Linked DNA regions of Schizosaccharomyces pombe. Changing the gene in region 2 together with the main gene of any one other region gives a genetic interaction. Each region holds a gene or a part of one and is shown on either strand. Other genes may lie near its edges.

Evidence for each region.
Region 1: mutations in dbl8 (region 2) and cho1 together harm fitness less than expected from each alone (positive genetic interaction), as found in Schizosaccharomyces pombe (one large-scale study listed by BioGRID).
Region 3: mutations in dbl8 (region 2) and psk1 together harm fitness less than expected from each alone (positive genetic interaction), as found in Schizosaccharomyces pombe (one large-scale study listed by BioGRID).
Region 4: mutations in dbl8 (region 2) and tcg1 together harm fitness less than expected from each alone (positive genetic interaction), as found in Schizosaccharomyces pombe (one large-scale study listed by BioGRID).

The regions. Positions count from the first base shown.
Region 1 is NC_003423.3:1,054,941-1,061,642, reverse strand, and holds cho1 (putative phosphatidyl-N-methylethanolamine N-methyltransferase), read right to left. Parts: upstream 3,280-6,702; 5' UTR 3,222-3,279; coding exon 2,692-3,221; exon of another isoform or gene 2,675-2,691; intron 2,637-2,674; coding exon 2,576-2,636; 3' UTR 2,517-2,575; downstream 1-2,516. Other genes in the region: pre-rRNA processing protein Esf1, read left to right, coding at 73-2,121; ubiquinone biosynthesis protein Coq7, read left to right, coding at 4,368-5,018; DNA-directed RNA polymerase II complex subunit Rpb4, read right to left, coding at 5,417-5,588, 5,663-5,740, 5,786-5,891, 5,930-5,981. UniProt on the Schizosaccharomyces pombe protein: Catalyzes the second two steps of the methylation pathway of phosphatidylcholine biosynthesis, the SAM-dependent methylation of phosphatidylmonomethylethanolamine (PMME) to phosphatidyldimethylethanolamine (PDME) and of PDME to phosphatidylcholine (PC).
Region 2 is NC_003423.3:2,555,056-2,566,531, forward strand, and holds dbl8 (ATP-dependent RNA helicase Dbl8), read right to left. Parts: upstream 8,115-11,476; 5' UTR 8,073-8,114; coding exon 2,238-8,072; 3' UTR 2,095-2,237; downstream 1-2,094. Other genes in the region: 1,3-beta-glucanosyltransferase Gas2, read left to right, coding at 1-371; tri1 (CAF1 family ribonuclease), read right to left, coding at 609-1,892; guanyl-nucleotide exchange factor Muk1, read right to left, coding at 8,871-9,693, 9,742-10,127; oxidative stress transcription coactivator/ribosome recycling protein Oxs1, read left to right, coding at 11,379-11,476.
Region 3 is NC_003421.2:455,093-462,438, forward strand, and holds psk1 (serine/threonine protein kinase S6K family Psk1), read right to left. Parts: upstream 4,404-7,346; 5' UTR 4,319-4,403; coding exon 3,008-4,318; 3' UTR 2,617-3,007; downstream 1-2,616. Other genes in the region: GTPase-activating protein Gyp3, read left to right, coding at 211-2,118; PHD finger domain-containing protein Phf1, read left to right, coding at 5,025-6,410; mrpl4 (mitochondrial 54S ribosomal protein uL29m), read left to right, coding at 6,859-7,293.
Region 4 is NC_003423.3:212,335-219,799, reverse strand, and holds tcg1 (single-stranded telomeric-binding protein Tgc1), read right to left. Parts: upstream 4,702-7,465; 5' UTR 4,657-4,701; coding exon 4,445-4,656; intron 4,279-4,444; exon of another isoform or gene 4,195-4,278; coding exon 3,993-4,194; exon of another isoform or gene 3,940-3,992; coding exon 3,304-3,939; 3' UTR 2,899-3,303; downstream 1-2,898. Other genes in the region: DNA replication factor A subunit Ssb1, read left to right, coding at 1-438; ergothioneine biosynthesis methyltransferase Egt2, read left to right, coding at 1,621-2,799; mef2 (mitochondrial translation elongation factor G), read right to left, coding at 4,901-7,225, 7,309-7,425. UniProt on the Schizosaccharomyces pombe protein: Binds single-stranded telomeric sequences of the type (TG[1-3])n in vitro. Has a role in meiosis.

The DNA.
Region 1 (6,702 bases), 1.5 Mb from region 2:
GCGTTAACTACAACACATAATTTGAAAGTTGAACTTCATATTTAGTCAAAGCCTTGTATATTGGAAGTAGTCATGGGCAAAAAGCAGACGAAGCCTATTAATGCTAAATCAAGGAGTGAAAGCAACGTAGTTGCGGATCCTAGATTTCAATCAGTTCACTCTGATCCTAGATTTTCTAGACTTAAACGTGGCAATTTTAAAGTAAAAGTTGATGAGCGGTTTAAATCTCTCAAGGAGGATAAGGACTTTAAAACTACTGCCAGTGTTGATCGATATGGCCGTCCTCTCAACCAAGATAAGGCTACTAAAGAGATTGATAGACTGTATGAACTGGAAAATGAAGGGTCGTCCAGTTCGTCTGAATCATCGGAAATTACTGACAACGAAGAAGTCGCTTCAGCGTCTTCGAAATCCACAAAATCGGAAGAATTAACCGATGAGGAGTCCGAAGATGAGGAAGTATATGATCCAGCTCGTGGTGAGGGAATTATTAGTACTTCGGAAAGTAGCGATGAAAGCGACGCTGAAAGTGAAACTGAAGCTCAACCGGAGATATCCGAATTAGCTGGAATCGAGCCAGAAGAGAATATTCCTCGTGGTTCAGAAACTAACCGTCTTGCTGTAGTAAACATGGATTGGGATAATCTTCAAGCAGTTGATCTTTTTGTTGCTCTTTCTTCTTTTTGTCCTCCTGGTGGGAAGTTACTGAAAGTGTCGATTTATCCCAGTGAATTTGGAAAATCCAGAATGGCTGCGGAACATGTTCAGGGTCCTCCACGTGATATATTTACTCCAGCTGACAATCAACCTTCTAGCGCCGAATTGCATGAGGCTCAAAAATTTGGTTTTGATAACAATGAGTCTGATCAAGATGAGGAAGATGCTTTAATAGAGGAGGATTTAGGCAACGAGTTTGATATGGTAAAATTACGCCAGTATCAATTAGAAAGGCTTCGTTACTATTACGCAGTAGTGGAATGTGATAGTGTAAGAACGGCAAAGGTTATATACGAAACTTGTGATGGCGCTGAGTATGAAACTAGCGCTAATATTTACGATTTAAGATTCATTCCAGATGATGTTACATTTGACGACGATGAATCTCGCGAAGTATGTACTAAAGCGCCCGAAAAATATGAGCCGAGAGATTTTGTCACCGATGCATTGCAACATTCAAAAGTTAAACTTTCGTGGGATGCTGAGGATCCACACAGAAAGGATTTAATTAAAAAGGCTTTTACTTCTCAGGATATTGAAGATTTAGACTTTAGCGCTTACATTGCCTCAAGTGAATCTGAAGATGAGGATGTAGATGTTATTCGTTCTCGTTACCAAAAGTTATTAAGTGGTGATGCTGATGACTTCCAAGCGAATAGTAACCCTTTTGAGGATGATGACAAACTTGAAGGCGCCAATGGTGAGATGGAGGTTACTTTTACTTCAGGTTTTGATGTTGATAACAATGCGAACTCTTCGGAAAAAGATGAAACCACTATTGAAAAATACAAGCGTAAGGCCGCTGAAAGAAAACAAAGACGGAAAGAATTGAGACAGCTTAAGAAAACAAAAGACGATGAAGGTGAAGGATCCGACGTTGATCTTGGTTTTGATGATCCATTCTTTAAGGACAAGGATGCTAGTCGTAACAATAAGAAAAACAAAAAGGGCAAGCATACTCAAATTGAAGATCCTACGGCCGCGTCTAAAGAAGAACTGGAAAACCTTGTTCGTGAAGATGAAAACGATTCTGAGCAGCTCGATCATTTTGACATGAAGAGTATACTGAAGGCTGAAAAGTTTAAGAAGAATCGCAAGCTTAAGAAAAAAGCCTCCAATTTGGAAGGCTTGCAGGAAGGATTCGAAGCTGATGTCAGTGACCCACGTTTTGCTGCTCTATATACTAACCATAATTTTGCACTTGATCCAACAAATCCTCATTTCAAACGTACTAAAACGGTGGAAAAAATTATGGACGAAAGTCGTAAAAGACGCTCAAATCAATTGGAACAAACACAAGACGGTAAGCCTGAGCTTAAAATCAAAAAGCGTAAAGCTGAAAAAGGAGATCAACGTCAAGAACTTGATCGCATTGTCAAATCTATTAAACGTTCTGGAAAATAAATTAGAAATTGTACTCTGTTTTTCCTCTTGAACGATTGGATTTATAGAGTTTGATTTTGTACATATAAATTGGTCAAAACGGGGTTTTTTTGGTTTGCTAATATATTTGTTTTGAATTTTATTTGATTTTAGAATGAAAGCACGTTAATTTACATGGTGTAAAATATTAGATTATTTTTTACATAAGTATGAATATAAAAATATCGGATCATGGTGTTGAGACCGCGATCAACACACTTAAATAATTTGAAAAAAAAAGCGTTAAACTATGCATAATTATACAGACGTTGAAGTCGTCAAAGTACATAGGGCAAAATCGGTTAAAGGAGGAGCGTTAGTAAAGGTAAGGACTAGTCATGAACAGAACATTCCATTTAAAATTGTTCCTTTTTTTTTTTTTTTTATAAAAAACTCTAATGAAGCTTTAACTTATGGCCACTTCAAATCAGCTGCTTCACTCGGATTTTTTAGCTTGCTTGCTATCACGAGCAGCGTAAATTTTAGCAGTAAAAGGTCTATTAATGGTTAGAGTAAAGAAAAATTTAAAAATTTAAACAGTTGGCAACTTACTCTTCAAATTTCAAAGCTATTCTATAAACGAAAAAGACTTCCAAAGTTAAAAGGAGGCCAGCAACTTTTCCATAACGCAGAGCTGTAGAAAGGAAACAAAGAGTAGAACCGTTGTACATTGGGTTATCGTTGACATTAAATGGGAAACCAGAAACACGCTCTGGAAGCAGAAATCCAAAGTAATCACCAAGATATGTACCAACAAGTCCTAGCTTATACATACTCGATAAGACAAGGACGCTGCCAAAACAAAAAATGAGCTTAGCTATACCCTGCACAAGAGGGTTCATGAAGATACCTAGCGTAGGTTGTTGTTTTAAAGCATTCTGATAAATTAAGTCACGAACTATTCCGGCAACAAAAATACAAGCTGCTAGCATGTAACAGGCCTTCTTAGAGTCGCCATTTGCCAATTTGGTCAAAGTCTTATGATTGTATTCTGAACGTGCAGCAATATTCCATAGCAGAGGGTTCAAAGCAATAGATACAGCACAAATTAAAAAAGAATTATTGATTTCAAAAATGGCCATGTTTAGCGAAAAATATGCTTTTATAAAAGGTTGATATAAATACGAAGTTGGTTTGGGGTAAAGAATCAAGCTCATTCAAACGACGTCTTTGATACAACGGAATTTAACGATATTGCTATTTTATAAAATAATGAGAGAAGGCCTGAAAAACATAAGTACTCATTTGTGTTTAAAAGATTAAATTAGAAAAAGGAAAGAAATGATTGATTTCGCATATTTCAAATTGTAAATTTTCGATGGGGGAGGTGGGTGTGGTTCTGGAGCTTTTTTTCTATAACAAAGAAAATTAATCCATAATGCCAAATTACATTCTTGAATTATTAAGCAAGTCAAAAATTAATTGTGATGGGGTGTCTTTGAGTCTCTACTTGTACTTGTTATATCAGTAATACTGGAAATTTGTATATCTTCGGATTCCCCTTCGGTTGAACTAGTAATTAATTTAAAGTTTTTTAAGCGAAAATACAATGTTGAGTTGAATTGGTTGGAAAAAAGATAGGAAATTGGAGTTTACTTTAAAACTGCAGCTTAAATATGTTTTTTTTTTTTATTGTTTATAAGAAGCATTTTATTATTGAACTTCTATATCCGTCAAGATTGACGAACACTATGAAACTGTAGCAAAGCCATTTAGCTAAGGAAAAAAATGATACATTGCTTCTTTCCTGAAATTACGCCACTGTTTATTGAATCTCTTAGTTTAAAAACTAAGTATGTATTTTTCATTTTGACTTAAAAATAAAGTTGAAGCAACTGGTATTCACTGCGTTAATCAAGCAAAAGAATAAACGACAAGTTTATCGAATATTTTATTCCATAAAAATAGAGTGAACATCAAATCACTTAAATTTAATTCCTTCTTAACTTAACCATCTAGCTTGAATTTTGCAGATTTGTTCAGAGATTGATATGAAATACACCTCAAGCCTAACGTGTTACTCAACTAAGCATTTCCGCCTAAAACGTTCGGTTTGGTAGAGAACTTCACATTCTAATCCTCCACACCCAATCAACATCATAGTCTCTTTCGTCGAATATTTCAATCTATTAGTGAATTAGAAATATTGGTTTATTGTTGATTAGTAAAATTTCGTTTTGAAAATTGATAACTCTGTGTAATTTCAGGCCTTTTTACCATTACAAAAGATGTTGTCACGTAGACAGTTAATACCCATTGCTACCAAGTCGGTTTCTCCTTTTCTTCGCTCCTCTATAACATGCCGTAGAATTTCGATGGGCCGTAAAGAACTGAGCGAGAAAGACTCAAATATTTTGGACAGCGTCATTCGTGTCGATCAAGCAGGTGAATTAGGCGCTAATCAAATTTACAAAGGTCAGCACTTTATCCTTCAATTTACCGATCCCAAAGTCGCACCTACCATTCAGCATATGTGGGATCAAGAAAAGTACCATCTCGCAACATTTGATAATTATGTCTTAAAGAATAGAGTCCGTCCTACCTTTTTACGTCCTTTCTGGGACATCGCTGGATTTGCGTTGGGAGCAGGAACTGCTTTGCTTGGAACCAAAGCAGCTATGGCTTGTACAGAGGCAGTAGAAACGGTAATTGGCGGACACTATAACGACCAACTACGTGAAACGGCTCATTTGGAAAATAAAGCTCCAGAATTTAAAGAGATTCGTAGCCATTTGGCAGAGTTTCGAGATGACGAGCTAGAGCATTTGAACACTGCAGTCGAAGGTTGGAACGCAAAGGAAGCTCCAGCTCATGCATTGCTTACCAATGCCATTCAAATGGGTTGCAAAGCGGCTATCTGGATGTGTAAACGATTTTAAATACTTCAAGTTTTCCTGCCTCAAACTCAACTTGCTAGTCCTTTATGAAGCAAAGAACGCCCATTTGATTCAAAATGTTTAGTTTTTCTTGCTTCACAATAGTATGATCCTTGTTAAAACTTACTTAATCTAATTAATACATTTTATCTAAATTCCTTTTCGCGTGTATTCAGTGTTTGTATTATATTTTTTTAATAGACTAATTAAGAAGTGTATGGTGCATAAAAAAACATAGATTTTGTTAAAAAAAGTTTTATGACCCCTCATAAATTATGGAATAATAATGACAAAAACGTCGTATTATAAATCCTGATATAGCTAATAGTTTATAAGACCGGAAACCTTTTAAGTTTTCATAATTGACAATAAACAGACTTGCCTGAGATCTATTTATTGCATTAATCTTGAAATTTACGCAAAGTGGAAAGCTCATCCAAGATGCCTTGAAGATTTTGGTCATCAATTTTATTCGCGAGACTAGGAATCAAGGTCCTAGCCTCTTCAGCGTCTTCGCAGCAGAGTGTTCCCAATTGTGCACGTTCAAATTTATGGAATCGATTACCAAGAATTCTATGAGGTTAGTCAAATATTTGCATACGGCTATTTTCCTCTAAAATTCTATTCAATTCTTTGAAATTATGTACCTTTCACATGCATAAGTGGCTTCAGCCGTTTTAAACCGAGCAAAAACATTGAAGTAAGCTACTGTTTTTTTCATCACACTATCCTAGTTAATTAAAAAAGAATATGCATACAATAAGACATACTCAGTCATTGGAATCTCACCATTAGTTTCGCGTGCTCGTTGTGCCAGAACTGTTTCAATAAGGATTTTGGCCTCTGAAACCGTCAACATATCCTCATTCTCAAACTCTTTTTATATTAGCAACAGAATAAAATTCAAATCCAACCTGGACCAAGTTTTAATTGTGCAGCATCTTCCTCAAAAATAGCCCTCGGCATTATGAATAGATGCTCGCAAACACTCTCTTCAGAATGTTGTTTTTTCTTTTTATCTAATTAAATCAATAACTATTATACAAATGTATTCCCAAAAATAATGTCAGAATGCTCTTTATGCACAACAACCAGCTTTCTTGCTGTTGCTTCGTGTCTAAAAATCGCGTCCTTGATTGCAGCATTTCTATAGCCGCTGCTAATAATAACGATATTTTATATTTATCTTAAAACTAAATAACGATTGTTCTTAATAACATTATGAATTTACCGAGATGTACGGAGATGTCTAAGAAAAATTTATTTTATTGATATTTCTTAATCATTTGTCTAGCTTAACGACGCCAGGGTTTTGGAGTATTTTCTCGTTAAAACCAAAGAGCTTTCTATTAAAATTATTCTCAAGTCTTTGCTTTAGAGACTTCGTATAGCTAAACGTTAATGCGCCTTAAAAACCTCAGATATGAGGATTCTTCTACTAATTTCGTTATATTCATTTGAAAATACGTTACATTCTTTTAAAGGGGTTATTTCTATTTTTACTGTGCTTAATTCTGAGATGAACCATTCGTTCTTGATTTATATGTTTGTTTTTTATAAATTTGTAAATTTATTTTTATTTTAATTTTAATTCTCACAATTTGACTTTGAATTTGATTTTTAATATGTAGGTTAAGGAAAACAGACTTCGTAACTTTACGATGTAATCGACTGAAGTGCATGTCGT
Region 2 (11,476 bases):
ATAAGCACTCCTACAATCCCAACGGTACTATTCCTGAATGTCCATCCAGAAACAAGACCAGCTGGGCTGTCAGTGCTAATGCTTTCCCAGTAACTCCCAACACTACGATTTGCTCCAATGCCGTTAAGAATCTCAAGTGTTCAGCAAATGGAACTCCTTCCGGTAGCAAGATCTCTCAGGTCTTGAGCGAACTTTGCTACTACGATAACAAGGCCTGTTCTTCTATTAGCAGCGATCCTTATGAGGGTACCTATGGTAACTACACTGGTTGCACTGGTGTCCAACAACTTAGCATTGCTCTTAACGCTTACACTCAGGATCATGGTGCCGATTCTTGTAGCTGGGGTGGTGTTGGTGAGCTTAAGGCATAATTTCCTCATTAATCCTTATTCAATTTTTTCATTTCTCAAATAATTTTAAACCTCAAAATTGAGCCTCATTGAAACTTATCTAACATTTTTCCAATAACATCCTTTGACAATTTTATTAGTCACATACCATTCTTGCATATAATCCATGAGTTTGTAATCAGCCACCTGTACTATTGTAATCTCCATAGGGTTTATATAACCTTTGAATATTTTAGAAGATTATTCGCTTCAATTCAATCAACTGCAATATTTATTTAGGTCAAGAAAACTACCGTGAATTGGAAGAACATTTTGCCATCGCTGTATATCCGAGTGTTTTGTTCTCATAACGTAGTAAACAAATAGTAGAGCAGTGTCGTATGAATCTTTTCCTGCTTCATGTGGGCGTTTTCTGCTCATCATTGACTTATATGGACATTCAATCAGCGAATTTAAAGAAACATTTGACCTTTGAGATGAGGAGTTAGAAGGTACTGGCGGTAGAGATATCTTTGAAACTAAGGAAAGTAAGTCCGTTGGTATCCCATCTGATACATGTTGAAGATCATCGGATTTCAAGTAGAGAAGTTTAGTGTCATATATAGATTTGAAAGATGATAAACAAAGCTCAGAAAACTCTAATATCGTTTCCGGGACTTTTCCTTCAAAAAGGGAAAACAAATACACCAAATCTGCCATGCCATTGTGACAAACTACTGACTTTTTTTTCTTAAGTATATAGTCCCATAAATGTCGCAACCCAACATTCTGTTTGATCAAATTTAGATTGTTAAGTATTAATTGGTCGCTCGCAATATCTTCTTTGAGTTCGCTTTTTGAAGTGGCAGAGCATTGAGTTGTCGAATTTTCAATAGCCTTCCGAACCTGCAGAAATGTTCTTTTGGGGTAACTCTTTAAAGTTGGAAATTCAATTTTAACCAGGGATTGTATTGCTTTTCTTATAAAACGATTAGAGGTAGTAATGTTCAAGTATTTTGAAGTGGAATGTGACAACTCGCTCGATAACCAATTCTTAATTTGATTTCTTGCGTCAACAAGAATTTCTTCATCGCAAGCATCTAAAATTGAGCTGGTCAAGTCGTCAGTTGATCTTTCATTAACCTTGTCGATCAAATTTCTTTCTTCAATCCGTGATAAGTATGGTACACCCTCTGTCAGTTGTTTATTAAAATCAAAACCTTGTTGTATCAGAAACTTAATACTGCTAGCCTCCGAGCAGAAGTCTCTCTTAAGGTGCAATTCATCTTTAACTAGAGGACTTACGTTAATATTTACGGGAATACACGAAGATTTTCCATTGTTTTGCAAATAAATAAAGGTTATACCAATTTGTAAAATTGTGTATCGTATACTACTTTTTCTCAGTAACTCATATCTGTCTTGTAAAGTATTTTTGTTGTTAAGGTTGAAGTCTCTTAATAATCCGGAAAATTCACAATCAATGGAAACATAGTGTGCTGAATCTACGTGTTTCTCCAATTCTTTTAATGTCTCTAAAAAGTTTTTGCCATGTATCTCCATCTATAGATTCAATGTATTTTGTAGAACTCAATTGAACATGCACTGATAATATGCTAATTTATAGCATATTTTGGAAGCTAATTAATAATGAAATTGTGAGTATGAGCTAATACAAGTTTGATATAATCCTAACACAAACATATAGAATATACTGGTGCATTTGTCCTGTTTATATATACCATTGAGTAAAAATTAATATAGTGTTGTTGTAAGCAAAATCATTTTTAGATAGGAGAAATATTAATAAATAAACTATGTCTAAGATTCAAATGATTGAAAACGTCCCGCTACTCGTGTTATTAAAAAAGTAATACTGTAAAATACTCATACTAAAACCTAAATCGGCTACTTCCTTTTGAAATGCTCAACTTTTGGAGGTGCAAAACCGTGGGCCATCGCCGCCAGAGCAAGTTTCGATTTGGGCTTTTTTGATTTTTTCATATGGCCTTTATCTTTATTTTTTTCCACATAACCCGGCTTTTTGGAAGACGCTTGTTCAATTTCAGATTCGTCTATTTTGTTTAACACATCTTGCTTGGAACTGGATGATTCATCAAGGCGTGGTTTCGTGACCTTATTATCAGCAGCAGTCTGATCAGTGGAAACTTTGTTCTTAGCGCGCTTATTCGGTATATCTTCATCTCTCTCAGTTCCTCTTGACAAATTAGCACTATCTATATTGTGCCGTTTTTTGACTTTATGTGCTTCTTGTTTTTCCTCACAGATACCAACCGACGGCGACTTAATTGGGGTATCCCGTGAGGCTAAATTTAAATTGTTAGATGCGAGGTGTGTCGAAACGTTTGATATACTTTTTGAGTTCTTAAATTGATTAGCACTCAAGTCTCTCCAAACACCACGAGTTTTTGCGTCTTCAATCAAGCTATAAAAAATATCCTCTTGCATTAGCGGTTTAGAATTGCCTACGATATACAAAGATGATTTAGCTCTTGTTAAAGCTACATTAAGCCGACGAAGATCTTGAAGGAAACCGATTCCACCGCTCATCGAACTCCTAACGCAAGAAAAAATTATAATGTCCTTTTCCTGTCCCTGAAACCCATCGACGGTATGAATATCAAGATGCTTGAATATAATGGAACCATACTTTCTTTGAAATTGTGATCGAAGCTGTTGTACTTGACTTCTATAAGGGGTAACAACTCCAATTTTCCCCTCAAAATCAATGTTTAGATAACATTGAATTAGCCTCTCATATAATAATAAAATAAACGAAGCCTCTTCCACATTGTACAGAGACTTTGAGTTGGAAAAAGCTTCCGTCCCGTGAACATTAAAAAATCGATAAATACCTAGCTGCGGATCCTCGTGCCAAGGTCGAGATGTCACTGCTGACATATTGGGACCGTCAAGTAGTTTTGAATTATAGAAAAACTTGCTGGGAAATCGGCTAATTTCAGGATTCATTCTATACTGTATGCTAAGAAGACAAGCGCTCTCATTATGCTGTTTGAACATTCTGACATATAGAGATTGTGAATATCCAAACTTTGCAGAGGTTTTTGATAGCACAGTAGGAGGAAGCTGATTCGGATCACCAACCATTACACAGCTCTCACAGCCATACTTAAGAGGTATGATTGAACTTAATTCAACGGCTTGTGCAGCTTCATCAATTATGACAGTTCGAAAAGTCAAACCCGCATTTAAAAGTAGTTCATGACCACTCGCAGATAAGGTAGCACATACAATATCAGCTTCCTGAAGTAGTTGATTTTGTATTTGTTTTTTCAAAACATCCAGATTACGATTAGTTGAGCGTTGACGTTCTCTCATATCATCAAGGCTCTGTTCAAGCATGTTTTTCTGTTTGGTAATCTCACGAAGCTGTGCTTCCAATATTGAACTATTTTTTCCAGTACTACGAAACTTTTCTAGATCTTCGCGTAAAGAGTCCCTTTTTTTAATAATTGAGTCATATTTTTTCCGAGTATCACTGGAATTGTTTGCTTCTTGATCTTTCTTTAGGTTCGTAAGTTCCATTTGCTTTATCATTTGCTCTTCCAAAGTAAATTCTTTAGCGTGAACGCTTATGGAGTCACCAAATCCAACACGAATAACTTTTGGAAAAAATTTGATACCCTCATGATCGTAAACACCGGCTTTGATACGAAGGAGAATTTCATCTATGGCTGCATTACTAGGAGCGCATATTAAAATCTTATTCTTTGAGGTTTTTCGCGTCTGTCCTGGGACATTAAATTGCAACCCTTGACTAGAAGAAGTAAGTACAGCTCCAATCATGCCTAGAATGGTTTTAGTTTTTCCAGTTCCAGGAGGCCCTTGAATGAGCGTAAAACCATCATTTACAGAAGATGCATAAATCGCATATGCCTGGGGTTCATTTACACCATAAGACTTCATTATTTTTTGCTTTTTGTCATCTGTAAAATTTGAAGGTAGACGCGTTACATTGGCATCCAGAATTCTCTGAGACAATGGTAAATGGCGAAGAGATTTTAAAGCAGCAAATTCACGTAAGCTAGTAGTAGCATTAAATAATTTTTGTGCTGTGAACCTAATGTTCGGTGCATACTCCTGTAGATCAATTGATTCAATATTCATCCGCAGACAGAGTTCAAGTGATTCTTTTTTACGAGAAATGGATTGAATTTTGCACAACTGAAAAGATTTTGGGTTATTAGTATCGCCCGAACTTTGTGATTTTGACAGTAAGCAAATATCTGTATCACTTAAAAAAGAGACTTCGGTAGGTGAACAGGACGTAAAGTAAATATCGACAAAGTTATCAACTGTACTGCGGGTGTTGAGGATTAAATCTATGGGAGGGTATTGCTTTTCTTCAACGGCACTTTTCACTTGAGCCCAACATTCATGAAACAACATTGGTTTGAAAACTTTCTCATAAGCGTTTGAATCATTATACGTGAATTTAGCTTGGACGCACTGCATCTCAACATTAGACGCCGAAAAAGAATCAGCTAATGGGTTCCAACCCAAAATTACTTTGTAAAACTCTTGAACATCAGGGTTTAGCCGGAGTCGAGCAAGTTGTGCACTTTGTTGAGTATTACGGCGCAATTGAGTAGGATGAACTACATTTTTTGTTTTAAGGGAATCAAAGTCCAAGAACTGAATCTGCCTTCTTTGTGGAAGAGATTTAGAGGCATGAGAATTAGCTTCACGTGCAAGCGAGAATAGACCGTTACTAGACTCTTCTTCGGACTCCGAGGTATCTTCATCGGAAGTTGAAGTATTTTTGTCATCTGGATTAGAATAACTTTTAGAAGTGTGCAAAAGTGAAGGCTTGCGAATTGGGTCAGCAGAATCGAGCTTTTGCAAAGCTTTTGGTATATGATTATCCGAATTAAGTTTCTCAGAAAGATGGTTCCCCGCACTGGTTCTTGGAACTTTCGCGGATTCGCGAATTCGCTGTGTTGTCTCTTGTTTAGATTTCAAAAAATTTAAATTTTGAGATTTTTGAGCATTTCTATTGATGGCTTTAGAAGCAGAAATAGCCTTCGGAGGAAGCAAAAAATGATTTGAAGTACTAATGTTTGACTCAGGTAATTTTTTCGCAATCCCAATAGTCTGGTCTTTAGAAAGCAAACCCCGATCATCACTCTGTAACTTAGTTTCAAGCGTATTGGTATCATTGAAAGGAGAGTGATTAAGAACGTCTTCTGAAAGGTATGGTGTGAGCGATATAAAAAGATCCTCTCTCTCAGTGAATGTAAGAATTGTTTGTTCATCACTGGTAATTGATGCCCTATGGATAATATCAATCACATTTTGACTAATTGGACACTCCAACTTTTTACAAATTTTAAGCATTTTACAAATCACTTTCACAACGGATGTTAGAAGTGAAGAATCAGTTAACTTAAGCCAATAAGATACAGTAACCAAAGAATCAGCTATACACATAGCTAAAGCACTGCCCTTATCATTAGCCGAAACAATTTTAATATCGTTATCCGATAATCCAAAAATGAATCCGTTAACTTCCTCAAAAATATTAATGAGCATATCGCAAAAATCAAGGGTATCCCGCATTAAATCAACTAAATTGTCCTTATCATGAACTGGCCAAGTAGGAAGAACAATGAAAAAATGAGTAAAGAATTTCCATAACGATTCCCAGAAATTCTTAAGGGATTCTTTCTTTTCCACTTGTTTTGCAAAAGTCGCATCCTTAGAAGTTAAGCCATCAACAGAGTCAAAAATAGTGTTTATAATTAATTTATTAAAATAAACAATGTGCTTGGCTCCTCCAAAGTTTCTGACTTTAAGCCACTGCAGAAGAACATAACATGAAGAATTTAGTGTATTTGAAAACTGGCTTCTCAATAGCTCTCCTATAGTATCAACAACGCTGTCAGAAAGCGAAATAGATTTAATAATTGAGATACTTCCTGTTGAGATCTCAAGAATTGGAGAAAAAACGAGTGAAAAGATTCCACGAAAAGTTAAAGGATTTGAAACCAATTGGGTTTGTGCCGACAAATGCCAACATTGAGTCTGAATAAGCATTTCAGAAAATGTTGCAACAAATCCGTTTAGTGCATTTTCGAAATCACTTTTGAACGGAATGTCAACTTTCTTAGGCGGCAACTTATCAATCAAGCAAACTGTAGAGCAAGCACGAAAAACAATACGAACCATAAAGAACTTCTCCTCTCGAAATACGTTTTGCAAATATACCCAAAAATTTTTAAAAGACTCACTTACCGATTTGATATTCAAGGGTGGCTTTCTATTTCTGTCCAAATAATGGCAATAGAATTGCTTCAAAATATAAAGATCTAAATTCAATCGGTATTCAAAAACTTTCTTAATAAGCCTCCATTCAACAGACTCTTCATTTTCCAAGTTTAGCAAACGAAACAGCTCGTCAAACTTAATCGCTAAAGTGGAATGTAATTCAAATACTTTGTTTTGTAAACTTTGATCACTATGGGGGAAAATCATAAAATATTCGGAAAACAAAACTGAAAATATGTCAGCAAGTGATTGAAGTAACTGAACATTTTTGAAACCGACTTCCAGTTCCTTTTTATATTGCATGGTGTAATTAATCAAAATTTTGTTAATTAATTCAACTTCATCAATGATTGAAATTGTCTTCAAAAGAGAGGTAGCCCATTCAAACGGATTCTCTGCCTTTTGGTCGTTTGAAAAATTGGATGTATTTTCTTCTGTCCACCTCTTATAAGCATTACCATTAAAAATTTTATCTATTACTTCACTGGGAGAAATTTCTGGCGTCCAAAAATTACGTCCATAGCAGTATAACAAAGAATGTAAACATACAAGGAAAGACGGACATAAATTAGTATGGTCGCTTTGCAATCCCGAAAGAATAAAATCGGCGACATTGAAATTTTTTCCTGTAAGTCCCCTAAAATAAAGATGATCAACATGCTTTAACAGCAACGATAAACCTTTCAGAAAAATTTGCATCTCGTTCTCATTTTCTTTCTTCTGGTCTAAAGAACGAATTTCCTGAAGAAGGGGACCCTCAAGGATTTTAAATTCATTATCGGAGATTGTTTTTACATCACTTAAAATACTGCAAGCCCATCTTCGGAGCTCATCATCTCTCGAGAAGAGAAGACTTATGACACCTGGCACTAGGTTTTTCGAGAGCCGAAGAAAACCGGACTCAAGAAATCTGTTTCGGAACAAGGGAAAGATTTCTTTATTATGTAAAATACGAGGAGAGTATAAGATTTCGTAGAAGGCGCATAGTATAGGTTTAGAGGCCGAGGACGTGTCGATTTTAGGCACTGTTTTGAGAACTTCCTGTAACCGAAAAATGTCCCAACTATAAATTTTCTCCATTACAATCTCAAGAGTATTTGGGTCAAAGTGAAAAATGTTTAAACATAGACTTTTGAAATCATCTAAAGATTGGTGATATTTAACTATACATTTGGGGCATAACTGAAGGCGTTCGTTCAAATGTTTTTTGAACCATACCAGATACTCGTTATCATTTTGAAAAGAAAATAGAAAAAGACATTCACGAACTGCTACTTGTAATTTAGGATCACAAACCCAATGAGGGTTTTGTCTGTTAGTATTTAGGTATGAAAGCGCCAAATGCAAAACTTTATTGGACCCTTCGAAAGATGGGTGTTTTTGATTTTCCTGAATTTTTCTTATTAATCTATCAAAAGCCTCGTCATTTTCCATAACCACAAGCTAATGCTGCATTCTCACTCTCGAAGTAGACTTATTAAAGCGCGACTGCAATTTTTCAAAATCTAGGTTTCTAAGGAAGTAAATTACACTATTCACTATAAACATTTAGTGCAACCAATCATTTGATGTCCACACAGCACTCGATTATCGCATTGAAATAAAATAGCCTTAAGAGAAATTTTAAATAAAAAAATGAACGTATATTTTGAAAGTGTATATAAATTCATGTACCAAAATCACGCTTCTTTATTGTAATTAAGATATATATGATTATCCGAAATATATTTTAAACATTACTATATATAATGTGACAACTTAAAAAACTTTCTTACCCATTATAATCCGAAGTTTGTGATTGTGTGTTTAATTCCTAGTTTCAAATATGACTATTTTCTTCACTGAGCAAAGAATCACAGTTCATTTTATTCAGTATATTTAAAAATTTTGCAGTAACATGATATATTCGTTTCATATATTTCCTTTGTAAGGATTTAATTCGCATGCAATCTTTGCGTCAACATACAAGCTTAAATCATTTTTGCTAGTTCTTTGTGATATTCATACATTAATAAAATAGACGTCAAGGAATAATCAATCCTTGTTTTGAATAAAAATTTTCTTTTAAACTTTTAAGCTGTTCACGAATTGACCTGCAACAAAGAAAAAAAAAATATTGATCAATCATATAACTTTTCTATATGACTTTGTCTCTCAAATGAATCAAATAACCATAAACAAAGCCGAAAACCAACTGGATGTGAAATTTTTAAAGAAAATATTCAGTCAAAATTACTGATTACCATTTTTCTCAAAAAGCAAACGTGCGAGGCGCTTATAGTCAGAAAGAAGAAGTTCAATTTCACCGATTTTAAGATCGCTAGCATCAGAAACAGTCAAAAAGCGTTCCAAAGGTGGGTCGCCCACGAATTCTACAGAATTGGAAGAATCTTCTGAACTTTTGGCAGTGTGATTGGCTACTTTACTAAGTAGAGAGGCATAAGATTTCTCAAGTGCTAGTCCCAGATTTCTTAAATTAGATAAAGATGAGCGATTCACAGGGTAGGGTTCTGCACTCGGATCATGAAGCGAGTTAGAGGTCGAAACTGTTTCGCTATTAGCTACCTCAAGTGAAAGAGGATCATCAGAGGGTTGAATTGACGATTGAGTTAAAAGATTTGGACAAGCTCGAAGAATAAAAGTAAGGGCTGCCTCAAAAGTTGTGAGACAGTATCTTTGCTCTCCGCTTAAAAAATCTGCATTTCGAAAGCGTAACACAAAATTCAGGTGCGATATTAAATGAAATCCGGGATAACAGAGAATGCAATATATGGTCAAATTTAATAAAGAATCAGCATTCAATTCTTCTTGAGGAAGTTGAGAGGCATTCAATATACTTGAATTAACGGTCATAAAAGTGTTTATTTTCGATCTAGGTGTGTGTTGCTCATCGAGAGCAAAAAATGCTTCAGAGACTTCATGTAACCGGTTTGTAAGTTTTTCATCATCAGGTATTGGAATGCAATTGATAAGTTCTTTCTTTTCTTCAGAAGCAATAAATTTTTTTAACAAGTCATCTTTGGCAGCATCCGTACTTGTAGATAAACAGAAAATCCTAACACAATATTAGTAAACAGTTATTGTAGGCGAAGTAATCACATACCGATCATACAAATATTCGCAAACTATATCTTCAATTTGGTCCATCCATTCATCTTTTTGGTTCAGCAAGTGTTGTCTCGCCTTTTTCTGAGCATCTATTTCCTCAGGAAACAAAAGAGGCACATTTTGATCTTTTGAAGAGGGTTGAGGGATAAGGGTTGAAGCAATAAACTCATCGGTATGCTTGTAAAAGTTTTGAAATGCTTTTGCTAGTTCTTCAGGCGAAAGCAATTGAGGGTGAACCGGACTAACTAGAGAAGAGATAAACTGTATCACACATGCTTGTACAGTAGTTGGAAGATTTGATGCAGAATTTGGGAGTTTGATGTCTTCTTCCTTAGGCTTATTTGTATATTTAACAGCTCTCCAAGAATTCAGAAAGCTCATCGAAAGGAACTTTTACGAAAGGTGATCAAAAAGTTTAATTTTCAAAAATAAAATTAAACGAAAAAAAATTCTATATATACATGTAACTAAGAATATGTTAGCATAGGGTCTAATTCAAATTTTCAAATTTATATCAGATAGGATAAACAGCAATCGAAGGAACCGAGTACGAAGTATTCGTTGAGAGTCAAAAATATAACAATATATCCCTAATAGAAAATATACATCGTTTTAAAGCTATAAATGCTAGCAATTCCTTCTTTACCTTTGTCGTATGACAAGTTTTCAAGTAATTGTCAAAATATAGAGACACGAATTAAAAAAATAAGAACGTTGATTAAGAACTTGATATAAAATGAAATAATAATCAGAGGTAATGCTTACTTGACTTTAACTTATAAACCCTTCAAAATAGAGGAACAGTGCTGGTAGAACCAAAATTGATATGCATTCATGTTTCGGCATAATAATAGCGTATACTCGTTAAGAAACCGTATACTGTAAATGTAAATAATAGGATGAGTAAATTTAAGTGCTAAAAAAAATAATTTAGAATTATAGATTCATTAATTCCTTTAACAATTAAGATGATCGGAATGTTAGTTTGTACGTTATTTGTATCGAAGATGAAGTTTAATACTTATATAGATTACAATAAACTAATCAATACTTGAAAGCAATTGTTCACTGTACGATATTGTTGAATAATTTGGCAAGAATAAGCATTTAATTTGATGATATATTTTACTTTTTCAAACTTCATGAAATACACATCGAAGTCCATAACAATTGTCATGATATAATATTGTAATTGAAGAGTATGATCAATTTACATCGGTTGACTTTGTTTCTCTTTTTAATGAGTTATCACTGTTAAGAATGCCATCATGTCATAAAAAGGATTTATGGTGTATTATGCAGTGTCTATACCATTCAATATACCCTTAGCCTGCATCAAGGCATTTAAGGAAATAAATAGTAGCAGATTTCCAATTAAGAACTTTTATTTTCTATTTTAGTGATAAAAATTCAGTTACATACCAACGTTTGACGCCGTTTGTTCAGTGTTATCAATACACCTTTGTAAATACACTGATAAAAATAGGGAGATATAACGAGACATTCACTTATAAAAATTATCAGATCAGATTATTAATCCATCCTTCGTCGCCTTTCTTATAACGAGGCGGCATATAGAAATCACCTGTTGTTCAAGTCATTCAAATCTCACATACCATTAATAGCCTTGATATGGGGAATCCAAAAAAGAGAGCAGAAAAGGCCGAAGCGGCAAAATCTAGAAAACAAGACGAGGAAAAGAAAAAAAAAGACGCTGAAGAAGACGAAAA
Region 3 (7,346 bases), on a different chromosome or scaffold from region 2:
GCATAAGAAATCTGGTTATTGAAAGGCAATTATTCATTCAATTACTCAAAAATCTCCCAGCTGGGTAGTAATGGTACTGGAAAGGAATTTTTATGAAGAAAGCATTGTTGAAGAACTAAGAGATTTTTTGAAAGAAAGCCAGAAGCCCGAAGCACCAGCGTCGCATGTGTGATAGTCAGGGAATTCTCGACATAAGAAGAGAATTTCAAAATGGCTGGCATCACTGAACATTCGACGATTATGAATGATGCAAATTTTAAAGAGGAGAATGCTCACCTGTCAGATGCATCAATCCACTTTGGAAGTAGTGAACAGGATAAAACACCTTCAGATTATGAATTAGATGATGTTTTAGATCTTTACAATGATACTACTGAAGACGATGCCGATGATGCAGACGATGTTAATAACTACATAATGTCTCCATCCTCCAGTTTATCTAGCGAGAGTGAACATGCACTAGATGCTTTAGTGTATCCCATTTACAGTCATCATAACATACTTGAGCACGAAAATAACTCTGACTATGCTTCAATTACGCCTAGTAATCATCCTGCATTTACATCATGTGCTTATCTGCAGAATCCAGTCGTTGATTCTAACAATGAATACGAAAGCAAGTTCAGACTTTCTTTAGAGATACCTCCAACTGATTTCTTATCTACTTCTACTGAACTTTCGAAGCGTGAATCATGCCTTAGTACTGAAACGTCCTCCTCCAAATTTTCCGCCGTCACCGCTGCCACTATTACCAACGAAACCCAGAGTGAAAAGCGTTCATCCCAAACAGATCCAAGCCTTCCTTTCAAAACCAACTCCCTTAATTGCGACGTCACTTATGAAGAAGGTCCTCTCACCAAAAAGCTCCGAGGACCCAAAAAGTACAAGCCCTCCCATTCAAGCTGGGATATATATGGTTTCAAAAAAGCCAACCAGTTTTATACCGTTGACCAATACAACACATGGTATGGCCCTTACAGCCGCTACCTGGAGCGTCGCGAACAGCGATGGAAGCTTTTCCTTCAAGAAAACGGTATAGACTATATACACCAATCTCCTAGTATTTTTCCTAGCCGCAGTGCTAAAACTCAACGATTTATTCGCAAAGGAATACCACCCGAGTATCGTGGCAATGCCTGGTTTTATTACAGCGGTGGTTACGAATTACTTCAGAGAAACCCTAAACTGTACGAGACTCTATGGCGTTGTGCGTGCATAAAAAAGCCCTCAGATTCTGACCTTATTGAACGTGATCTATATCGTACCTTTCCAGACAATGTACATTTTCGACATAAATCCAAGCATTCTAGGAACTCATCCGACGCATCAGAGCATTCATCAGAGGAGCCTGATGTTCCAATGATTTCAAAACTGCGTCGTGTTCTAATGACTTTTGCAACATACTTACCTGAAAATGGTTACTGTCAAAGCTTGAATTTTCTTGCTGGTTTCTTCCTGCTTTTTATGAGTGAAGAAAAGGCGTTTTGGATGCTCGTAATTACGTGTCGTAAATATTTACCAAAGATGCATGATGCCAATTTAGAAGGTGCTAACATCGACCAAAGTGTTTTGATGGCATCCGTTCGAGAAAGCTTACCAGCGGTTTGGAGCCGCATCAGTCTTAATTTTGATGGTATACCCGTCAATGATATTGTGGCAAAGCTTCCTCCCATTACTCTCGTAACTGCTGCCTGGTTTATGAGTGCCTTTGTTGGCATTTTACCTACGGAGACTGCTCTTCGTGTATGGGATTGTTTTTTCTATGAAGGCAGCAAAGTTTTGTTTATGACGGCATTGTGTATTTTAAGACTTGGTGAAGATGATATAAAGTCGAAAAGTGAGCAGACAGAGGTATTTCAGGTGATTCAAGATTTACCCAAATCGTTACTTGACGCTAATGCATTTCTCTCCTTGTGTTTCCGAAGGAATTTTAGGCGCACTCCCTCCCAAAAGGATATAGAGCGTCGAAGAGAAAAGGTTGCAAAAAAGCGTAACTCTTCTGCTTCAAAGCTTGAAATGAGTGATTCTTCGAAACATCACCTTAGTCGTTCATCATCACGATTCAGCAAGTCGCATATAATATCTCAGCTTCATAATCACTTGAAGAAGTCTACTTAGTTATGTCTGTTTACCAATTGAGTTTGCCCATTGTCAAACCTGTCAAACCTTTACTCTCGTTACTAATTTTATGAATGCCCTTGTTCGTTAAGAATTTGGTTGATTGGTTCAGATTTTTATTATTTTTTTACATTGCTACATTGAACAGCCCTTATTCTATTAATTTTGAAATGTTTGTATGAACGTCGTTCCATCACTTATTTGTTCAGCAGATTATTATTTTAGGTAGTCATTGACTCCACTATACACTCGTTTTATTCGGGCATATGCCATTATTTTTGCAAATCGATCTATTTATATGTCTCTTTTGTATAATTGCCTCTTTCTTGTTTGCATAACAATCGATTTTATCTCCCGTTGACACTGGGAATCGAGTCACTAATGTCGGCATGCTTGATATTATTAACATAGCATTATAAGATCACTGTTTTATCATTTTTTGTAGTTAGCCCTCAGTCTGTATTTTTATAAATCATTTGTTGCTAATTCGTTTCAACAGGAAATTGTTTTTAATGTTAATATAAAGTATGAACAATTGATATATTAAAGAAAACACTAAGCTGACCGATGTTTTGTAAAGTATGTATATAAATATATATAAAATTAAAGTTTTCTATTGTGTAATAATAATATGGTTAGTGAAAAGGGATTAAGTAAAGAAGCAACTAATGAAAGAATTAACAGTAATTATAATTAAAATCTTAGAATCTTAAGGATCGATGTTCGATAGAAAACGATTAATTAATGGAGTTTCTTCAAGTATTATGAGTCCCTAAAGGATGAAAGGAGTTATGATATAGTGAGAATAATCAGTTTGTTTAAAATAAAATATCCTTTTCACACATAAAATAAAAAAGCACTTAGTAAATGATGCTTTAGCGAAACCTATTTAATGGTTCGAAACTGCGTTGTTAGATAAAAATTCACAGTTGAGAAAATTGGGAGACGCAACATAGGTAAAGCCTTGAAAAGCAGAGGAATGGCTACCAATTGTTAAATTCCCAAATTCTTCATGAAGAATGGGTGTTGTAGAAAGAGGCAATTTGGTAAACTCGACTGAAAAATTCTCCGCAGCCTCAGGATTGGTGATGCAAGGAACAATTGGGGGAGGCAGCATGCGCTTCTCTAACTTATTCCAATCAATTCGGCGATAAATTCTGTGCTTTTTTATTGCATCGTAACCTTTCTCGGGACCATCTGCGCCGAGGCGTTGCTTTGGATTTTTCTTGAGAAATTTGTTGATAATGTCTCTAGCATCAGAAGTCACATAAAAAGGTATGTTAGGCTTTGCACGAGTGATTTTTTCCATAATTCTCTTATGATTGTTGGCGGTGAAGGGGGGAGATCCTGTAAGAAGATCGAATATGAGGATACCCATAGACCACCAATCGACGGCATGATCATATGGCTGCTCCAACAAAATTTCTGGAGCACAATATTCCTCAGTGCCTACAAAAGAACGACAATCAGCTCCATTTTCAGCCACCTTTGACAATCCAAAGTCTGTAAGAAGGATATGGCCTTCAGCATCCAAAAGACAATTCTCTGGCTTTAAGTCCCGATACACAATACCAAGTTTATGTAAATGTATCAATGCTAGAGTCAATTCAGCAGTATAAAAAGCAACCACATCCTCAGGAAGCATCCTTTGCTCGGCCAAATGAGAAAATAACTCTCCTCCAGGTGCATATTGCAATATCAGATAAAGACGATCGTGGTCTTGAAAAGCATAATAAAGGCGACAAATGAACGGATGTCGAACCTCTTCTAATATCTGTCGCTCATTTTTGGTTTGTTCGAGGCCCTTGGCACGAAGAACAATGCTAGCTTTCTTTAGCTGTTTCTGAGCAAACAGTCGTCCAGTATTTTTTTGCTTCACTAGGAGCACCTTTCCGTAAGAGCCACGACCCAATACCGTTAAGGGTTGAAAGTCTGCTGGACGCATCTTTCCGCTTGGTACATAGTTGTCACCCTTGGAAGAAATAAAATCACCATGGGCAGCAACCTTAAACTCTACCGTCCCCTTTTCATCTTTGGCATTCTTTCCATCCTTCAAATCACTTGACGAAGTGATTGTCGACGCAGATGCCTCCAATTCTTCAAAATCATATCCCTCCTCTGCAATCTCATCGTCACTAGACAAATGGGAATTGTAATTCTCATTCAAATTGTCGTGCTCATCAAACATAAAGACAGGCATCTTTGAGCAATTTGTACTGTGAAGGATCACAAGTTTGGCATATGTATGCCCAAAATGCCTTTTCCTTGTTGTTTGGTAGACGAACAAAAGACTGCCGGGATGTAGAGCAAGAAATTCTCTTTGTCATACCTCATTTTGTTGATTCAAAACGCATTGCTGATTGGCCAATTTAGTAAAGTTTAGATATATATAAAGCTTTTGATTCGCCCTCTTTACTAATTAAAGTTATCAACTTACTACTTATTGGACCGCTTACATAGGCTATTGTGCGTTTTACTTTAAAATTTTTTTATGCCGAGAAGCTAGATTAGTGATGATTAACGTGTCTTATACGATGTGCTTTGTGCATTTTAACGAATGAAAATGTCTTGTTGCTTATGTTGTTACCGTAATGTAAGGCTGGCTCTGTAAAACGATGCCAGTTTTATATGGCCTATGCATACCTTCTTCTTGAGACGCGCGTGTTAAACTCATCTTTCGTTGAATGGCGAATTTACATCAATGAATTGAGATTTAGGAAGATTTACTTTTTACATAAAGTTATTCTATGGTCTCAGATATTTTGAATTAACATTCACTGCGTGACAATTGCGTGTATCATCATTTTAATTTGCGTTTCATGTTTGCTAGTTTCATCTAATTGTGCATTTCGTTTTAAATCAAAATTTTCCAAATTACTCATATTTATTAGTCCTCGTTTTTTACAATGTCTCAAAAGAATTTTTTCGACGAAGGAAAGAGCTATGGTGTAAATGACTATGCCGGTTTCCATTTTGAAAATGGTGCTGATTCATCCCTTCCTCAGGTATCGGCTCAAGGTGTAGTTAGAGAAACGGACAGCTCGAATTTTGATGCTTCCCCTGTCGCATCGGGTTCTGGAATTTCCGATGTTGGACCATTTGGCGCTGATTTCCATCAACTGCAGCAGCATGTACAGACACCGTATGGCGGTATGACTATGCCTGCATCTTCCTCTTCAGGCGCTACTTCAGTACCACCGGAGCAAGATCCTTCTTTGTCTGTATCATTCAATCGCTTGCCCAAGTCTGCATCAACCAAGACTAAGAATGGACGCATTCGATCGTCTCGTCGGGAAGACGATAATCGTATACCATTTTACGATCTCGATGTTGCAGAAGGTGCCGAGGATGATTTACAGGAAGACTTTCACGTGGAAGGAATGAAAACAAAATCGGGTAGAAAGATTCAGCGGCCAGTCGCATACAATCCTAATGCCACCGCATTGAAACGGAAAAGTCGCAAGGTCGATATGGTCACCTTGTGTAGCGTCTGTCAACGAGGACATTCTCCTTTATCTAATCGAATCGTATTTTGTGATGGATGCAATTCTCCATATCATCAGCTTTGCCATCACCCTCCGATTGACGATGCAACCGTTCAGGATGTGGATGCTGAATGGTTTTGTATGAAATGCCAGTACAGGCGTGCCAAGCAACCTTTAGAAACGGGAATGACGGCACAAGATCTTGGGTTAAGTGAATCAGACAAAAAAATGTATCTATCAAGTTTACCTACTCCTCATCTCGCAGATCTTATTCTTTTTTGTGAAAAGTCTTATCCATCTCTTCCCATATACAACCCACGTACTCGGGAGTTGTTGGGTGAGATTCGGCATCAACTACTTGTTAGTTCTGAACGCCAACAAATATCTTTACAAGAGCGACTTCATGCTAAACAAGATGAAGCTCCCTCTGATGAGCCTGCACCTGTCCCCTATACCGCAAGTTATGTTGCGAATTCTGGAACCTTATACGACTATCCAACGTTAATACGGTTAGCTATTCGTAACACCCTCTCACCTTCCAAAGATGAAATATTTAACTGGCTTGCTCAAAACGTACCATTGTTACCAACTTTTCACGACAGCGCTTCCGAGGCCATTCGTTGGATGGTAAATAAAGGTCAACTGGTCCGTTCCGGTAGCATCTATCAAATAGCAACAGTCGAAGAATACCCTCACCTCCAACCCTCTTTACTTCCTACTTTTCAACGAAACCGTAAGGTACCTAAATTGGTGCCTGTCTCTTTCCCCACCGATGATCCTCAAAATTTATGTGCTACTGTTTTATGAAACTGAACAAATTTTTCTAAATGTATAGACAAAAAAAATTTCTTTACTTCCCGTTTTTAATTAAACGGTTGCGTCCCGTTAATCTCGAAATAAATTTATAAGCGGTCGAAAGCAATGTATCATTACACCATGTATTAGCTGCAAATCAAAGTACTTTAGTATTTCCTTCATGGATTCAAACTTTTCACTCGATAACAAATCTAGGGAAAATACATAAATCGCCCTACACACTTTCTGTTTACATTATAAACTTTTCGTTTGGAATGTTTCCTCGCCATGAAATCTTAAAATAAAATAAAATAAGGAAATGAACAATTTCTCAATTTAGCAATAATTAAGAAAGTCAATGAAGTATAATAAAAAATAATTATTTTTAAAGTATGACTTACAACCATTATTATCGGTCAATGTCAGGGTGTTACAGCGCACCTTCTACTTACCACCAAAGATGAGGTCCACGTTGGCTAGCGCTCAGAAAGCAGCCGTACGTATTCCAAAGGGCTTTGTATTTCCTGTTCCAAAAGTAAAAAGTGCTCCTAAGGTTTCAGACACGCACCCTTTGTGGAATTTCTTTCGGGACAAGCAAGCCCTTCCACCACCATCGGAAGAGGCTAAATTCGGTAGAGCATGGGCTGCAGAAGAGCTTCGTTGGAAGTCTTTTAATGATCTACATGGACTTTGGTACAATTGTCTCCGAGAGAAGAACCTATTGTTCACACAAAGGGCTGAAATGAAACGCTTACAGTTGACTATTCCCAAAGCCTCAAATGAGCGTGTACTTGCAGTCAATAAAACCATGGCAGCTATCAAATTTGTCCTATGGGAACGCCAAAGAGCATATACTTCTGCCAAGCAGCTCGAGAAACAAAAGGGATCTTCTTAAACCCCTTCCTTTTAGGAAAACAGAAAATCATCCAAGTATGGCTTTATTATGAT
Region 4 (7,465 bases), 2.3 Mb from region 2:
GTTTACATTCGAAAGAAAAACGTGTCATATCCTGCTTGCCCTGCTGCTGATTGCAACAAAAAGGTTTTTGATCAAGGTGGCTCCTGGCGATGTGAGAAATGTAATAAAGAATATGATGCTCCTCAATACCGTTATATTATAACTATTGCTGTAGGTGATCATACGGGACAACTCTGGCTCAACGTCTTTGACGACGTCGGTAAATTAATCATGCATAAAACGGCAGACGAATTGAATGATCTACAAGAAAACGACGAAAATGCCTTTATGAATTGTATGGCAGAAGCTTGCTATATGCCATATATCTTTCAATGTCGTGCTAAGCAAGACAATTTTAAAGGTGAAATGCGAGTACGCTATACAGTGATGTCAATTAATCAAATGGACTGGAAGGAAGAGTCTAAAAGATTGATAAATTTCATTGAGTCTGCTCAATAAAACATTGTGTTTTACGTCTCGCTGGTCGAGTAATTGAGTTTTTGGCTTAAATCGCGAAAACTACGATTTATGATTTTGCATACATTGATTACAAAGTGACTCCTTTCCTTATGATTTGGTACTTCACTTACATTTAACTAGATTTAAAGTAATTATATATGATCTGAATTTTTGGAGTAATTAGTTCTGTTGCTTACATATTAAAGTTCCTTGATGGGTAATTTACGCTATAATGGCTTGATTGAAATCACCGCTAAAAGAATGCAATGATATCTTTTAATATGAAGTAAAATATACAGTAAACTTATCAATTGTTTTAGAATTGAAACTGTTGAAGAAATAAATTACCAGATTGTTTTGAAGTAAATACGAGTCTACGAAAATGCAATCCTATTTTAACAGGAATATGAACCATGATTTTTTTAAATTTACTTTATAAATAAACAACTTTAATAAGGAAGCGATTTAGATACCAATAACAGCAGGTTACATTCTTTAATTGAGTAATAATAATATAACTGAGCAAAAAGACTGTTTTGCGACAAATTTTGTTAATTACATACAAAATCTTAAAATACAACATTTCTTTGATTAAATCGTACAAATTTATCTTTAAAGATCCTTAATTAGCTCCCCACATTCTAAATGGAATGGAGTAAACTATTTAATCCGTCTCGCAACAACCTTCAGTAAAACCTTGACAACGAGAGATTTAAAAAAGATTAAGCGCTGGTTTTAGTTTTTGTAAAGTCAATGGGGATGCTAAAGAAATGATAGAGTAACGGATATGTTCGAAAAAAGTTCTGAAGCCATGATCTTTTGTAGATCAGATCAGTCTTATCGTATCTCCAAAAAACGTAGATTATAAGTATCTTTCTTGTAAAATTATTGTTATCATTATGATAGAAATCTTTATAATTTCAAAGATCGTCTGTTTTTTGATAGTATATTAATTCCGTTATCCGCTAATATTAATCATTTCATTAGCACCTAACCGCCAACGGTTTCCTTTAGCCTGACGATACACTATTTTGTTAATAAGCCATTGTGACATTTTATAGCAAGCAAACTATCGTCATTATTATTCAATTATTGTAATCCAAAACGGAAACATACAAAGTTAGACTGTCTACTTAACTACAAATTGGGAGTTCCGAAATTCACTGTGATTTAATTTTATAAATGGCTGAAAACAACGTCTACGGCCATGAAATGAAAAAGCATTTTATGCTTGATCCCGATTACGTGAATGTAAATAACGGAAGTTGTGGAACAGAATCTCTTGCTGTTTACAATAAACATGTCCAACTTTTAAAGGAAGCTCAGAGCAAGCCAGATTTTATGTGCAATGCCTATATGCCGATGTACATGGAGGCTACTCGAAATGAAGTTGCCAAGCTGATAGGCGCGGATTCAAGTAATATAGTTTTTTGCAATTCCGCTACAGATGGGATTAGTACGGTTTTGTTGACATTTCCGTGGGAACAGAATGATGAGATATTGATGCTAAATGTTGCCTATCCTACTTGTACATATGCCGCTGATTTTGCAAAGAATCAGCATAATTTACGATTAGACGTTATCGATGTTGGGGTGGAAATTGATGAAGATCTATTCCTTAAAGAAGTAGAACAGCGTTTTTTGCAGTCCAAGCCGAGAGCATTTATCTGTGATATTTTAAGTTCTATGCCCGTTATCTTGTTTCCTTGGGAAAAAGTCGTAAAGCTTTGTAAAAAGTATAATATTGTTAGCATTATTGATGGTGCTCATGCCATAGGTCATATTCCTATGAATTTGGCTAATGTTGATCCTGATTTTTTGTTTACCAATGCTCATAAATGGTTAAACTCACCAGCTGCATGCACTGTACTCTATGTCTCAGCTAAAAATCACAATCTCATCGAAGCACTTCCTCTCTCATACGGTTATGGATTAAGAGAAAAGGAATCAATTGCCGTAGATACTCTTACCAATCGGTTTGTCAATTCTTTCAAGCAAGATTTACCTAAGTTTATAGCTGTTGGTGAGGCTATTAAGTTTCGAAAATCCATTGGAGGGGAAGAAAAGATTCAACAATATTGTCATGAAATAGCTTTAAAGGGAGCCGAAATTATTTCTAAAGAACTGGGCACTTCCTTTATCAAACCTCCATACCCAGTTGCAATGGTAAACGTCGAAGTTCCCTTACGCAACATTCCCTCCATAGAAACACAGAAAGTATTTTGGCCTAAATATAATACATTCCTTCGATTTATGGAATTTAAAGGAAAATTTTACACTAGACTTAGCGGTGCGGTGTATTTAGAAGAATCAGATTTCTATTATATTGCTAAAGTTATTAAAGACTTCTGCTCTCTTTGAATAACTATGCTTCACAATGCATCCTCTGACTCTTTTTATGTGACTCAAAGCACTTAAGTTATTTAATACTCACCTGTGTTTTAGACATTGCAGCACAATAGATTCTAAATCTTAAGAAGCCTATAACATTCGTTTAACTAGTTACTTATATTTTGCGTGAATCAATTATTACAACGTTCACAATTTTGGAAGAAAATGTATATTTTTACTTGAAGCACTTTAACGTTTCAAATGTACAAAGATGCAAAACTATTTTTAACAATAGGCCCGAATGTATTTTTGATACAAACGGAAAATATATAAGGCACAGAACTCCAAGCAATGAATATAGTCTAGTCTACAAAGCTGCAACTTTTTACCAGGAACATGCATGGGTTCCATGCTAAGGGAGAGAACGTGACGTGCGGAAACATGAGGGTATTCGGGACATATATAAGTATAATGGCGAGGCTCATTATAAAAGGAACGAAGAGCCAGGAATAATCACAAATCATATTTTAACTTTTAGGCAGTTATAGCACTAGCAGTAACGCCTGATTTTTCTTCTGAGTCAACCTCAGATGCTTTGGGCTCAGTAGAATCAGACACGTTAGTGGGAGCAGATTCTGAAGCCTCAATAGGTTCGTTTTCATTTTTTTCATTTTCATCATTTTGCTTATCTTCACGGAAGACAGCACTTTTAACAACCAAAGTAAGGTCACCTACTTGCTTTCCATTCATTTCCTCAATAGCTCTGGATTGATCCTCAGCATTAGCAAAAGACACAAATCCAAAACCACGACCACGACGTTGCTCACCACGTAATTTTATACGGCGAATAATATAAGGAGGAAGGGAACGAACAGCAATACGAGCACGAGTAGGATTGTAAGCATCGAACATTTCTTTAAGGCCTTCATTTGTTAAAGTAACGGAGAGGCCTGAAACATAAATAGAGTTGGGAGGCAAAGGCTTAGCCTTGTTTTTACCAGACCCACCCTTTCCTTTGATCTCATTTTGTTTCTTATCGACACCATTTGCTTCATTACTTGAAGGAGCTGTTGCGGTATTAGCTTCATTTTCATCACTGGAGCCCTTAGCAGATTCAGCATTTTCGACAGAAGTTGAAGTTTCAGGTTCTTCACCATTTTTATTTTTTGACTAATGTGTCAGAATGATATTGATAAAAGCTTTGCGAACTAAAGTATACTTACCTTTTTCCTATCTTTTATAGGTTGCTCTTGGACAGGACGAGCTTTTTGAACAACAATCTCGCGATCATCCAATGTTTTACCATTCAATGTCTCTATAGCTTTGTCAACATCCTCCTGATTGTTGAATGTAACAAAAGCAATGCCAGAAGGTACGAGACGGGTACCACGGCGAACACGACGAAAAGGAATAGTTACTTTACGACTAAAAAGCATTAGTAGATGATCAAATATAATTAAAGTAGCACAGATAGTTTCGAGTAAATATAAGCTCGCATAGCTCCGTTTTAAAATCGTTTTTGTGAAAAATATAAAGTATGACTTCTAAAAAGTAAATTTTCAACAACTCCAAATTATGCACTGATTTTAATAGAGAGAGCTTTAGCTTTAGCGCTTAAACATAAGAAAATTTTGTTCTAACTCGAAATTGCTAAAACCAGTAATAGTTTACATACACAGTACCAACCGTTTCAAACAATGAACGGATTTCACTCTTTTTGGTAGACGTACTTAAACGCCCTACAAAAACACGAAAGTCGTCCGCTTGTTGAGCAGGTGTGTTAGATTGTTCTGCAGATGCATGTACAGCAGCATCTACAGATGCTTCAACTTGATCTTGAACAGTATTAGGAGCGTTTTGGGTTACAGTTTCCTCAGCGGACATCATTAAATTCGTCTAGGCGTTTTGTAGTAATTATAGTCGATATATGCTAACGGTAGGTTCCATCTGACGTTGGGGACAACATGTACACAACTCCGTTGCAGACGTGTGTGTATGCATACACCGAAACGTATAGAAAAAGAATGTCAAACATACAGCTTTTTAATGATAAGGATGATTTTTATAGAAAAATAGAATTATATCTTTTTTTCTATGTATTTATTTTACCCATTAACCCACATTTCTGACCTTAAGGAAATATTCGTTTTTGTCTCTGCATAGACATAGGATGAAAGGAAGAACCGTAATTGACCAGCTTGGGAGTTTGAGATTCCATAGGATGAGACATAAGAAATTTTGCATTACCTTTTGTTAAAGAGCTTATAACACTGTTGTAGTCGAGAATCTGCTCCAAAGGCACCTGAGCACGAATACATTTAATGACAGATGAACTCTGTAGTAGAGAAGAAGCATTGTTTGCTTTAACAGAACTAGGTTCATCAGCTGGTAGATATCTTTCACCTAATATTCCTATCGCTATCTGCGAGTCTTTCGAAGCAGCATTCTTTCCAATCTCTGTAATTTCTTTGATCGTGGCTCCCCGCTTGCCTACAAGATCTTTAGAAACAATACCAACATATTCTTCAGGAGTTGTAATTGTAACATCCATATAAGGTTCTAATATTCTGAAACTTTTGGGACTTCTCTTGTATAATGAAAATACTGCATTTTTGGTAGCTTTCATCGATGCTTGTGTCAAAAGTGACAACGGAAAGTCATTAGATAGAAAAGAAGAAATGGTACAAAATGACTGCAAATTCGTGAGAGGAAACCCATGTAAAGGCCCATGCGATAGACCTGCAACTATTCCAAAGTAGATGTTTTCTTGAATACGTTGGAAAGAGAGATGATCCGGTAAAGTACACGAGTTTTCCGGCTTCCAGCCATAAAACAAAACTCCATCTTCTTGCCCTTTACTTCGAACTTTTTGGATCTCACCTTCAGAAAAATATTTTTTCAAGGTTTCATCTCCTTCATCAGAAATAGGGATTAAGTAAACATTAATAATGAGATTCTCTTTATTTTCTGTGCTTAAGGTAACTGAATTAAAGCTTACATCAATCAAAGTTTCACGATAACCAACTTGAACTTTTCCTAAAGATGCTCGAGCTCCAAATTCAGACACCAGTCTTTCATAAGAAACTTGTAAATGCATAATGCCCATCCCTTGTATCAATAGTTGTCCATTCTCTAAATCTTGGGTATATCTAAATGAAGGATCTTCACGATTCATGTTAGCCAATGCTTCTAAAAGTGCGGGTTCATCTTTTAGCGAATAAGGTTCTATAGAAGCAATGCAAACAGGTTCAGGAATACTGATAACACTTTGATTTCCAGAAAGGTACTCATGAAAATTTTTTGAGTTCTCTTTATTAATAATGATATCTCCGGTATGAAATTGTTTAATCCCACTAATCACTCCTATGTTTCCAGCGGAAATGCAATCAACTTCTTGAGTCTGGTCAGCGAATACATTGTATAAACGAATTGCTCTTTCTGACTTTTTAGTTCTTGGATTAAACATCATCATTCCTCGGCTTAAAGTCCCTTCATTGACTCTGACATATGTGAGAATTCCCCTAGAAGCATGATGTATAACCTTGAAAATCTTTGCAAGCAAAGGACGTTTATCCAGGGAGATTATTTTGTCACTACTCGTTTCTTTTGAAGCATTTTTTTCATAAAATTCTACAGGACTAGGAAGATAATCAATGATCGCATCCATGATGGGCTGAACGGCTATATTTTTAAGAGAAGATCCGCATAAAACTGGAACTACATTGCCAGAAATTGTTTTCTGTTTGATAATTTTAAATAAACGGTCATTAGTGAAAGCGAGTGAATCCTCATTCTCAAGGTATTCATCGCATAATGTTTCGTCAACATCGCAAAGGCTCATGACTAATGCATTTCTCGCTTCTATAAATCTCTCCATGTGTGATTCCGGAATTGGAAGCTCCTGAACATGTGTACCATCTGTTCCTAACTTGTTGTCAGATGTATCCCACAAAATCATTTTCTGCTGCAAAATATCCAAAATGCCTAAAAACTTCCTTTCTTGTAATCCATCTGAATATACTGGCAATTGAAGTACAAGGGGATATGGACAGTCTAAATTGGTGTATATAGAACGAATGGTGCTACCCAAGCTAGAACCTACACGATCCATTTTATTGACAAAAATAACCTTTGGAATGCCGCGTTTGGTAGCTTGTTTCCATACAACTTTCGTTTGGGCTTCAACACCAGCACTACCATCTATAATGGCTACAGCACCGTCTAATACTGCTACTGACCGTTCAACTTCAAAGGTAAAATCAGCATGGCCAGGGGTATCAATTAAATTGATTCTTTGATTTCTCCAAGTGAAGCTAATTGCGGCAGAGTTAATAGTAATTCCGCGCTGGCGTTCTGCAGGCAAATAATCCATAACCGTATCTCCTGTATCAACATTGCCAAAGTGGCTAGTAAAACCTCCGTAATATAGCATCTTTTCTGTCAAAGTAGTTTTTCCCTATTAAAAAGTTAGAAATTTCTGTTGTAAATAATCTTATGGTCAAGGTACTCAAACAGTTCCATAAAGTAGGAAATACTTACAGCATCAATGTGAGCGATGATGCCCACATTTCTAATAGAATTTATTGATATATTTGATTGATATCGTCTCCATACTGGTAACCGAATTTTTAATGGCTTCCATACAATCCGAAGCATGAGGTTAAGGAGCAAGCTTCTTAGTCTAAAAGAATTCCGG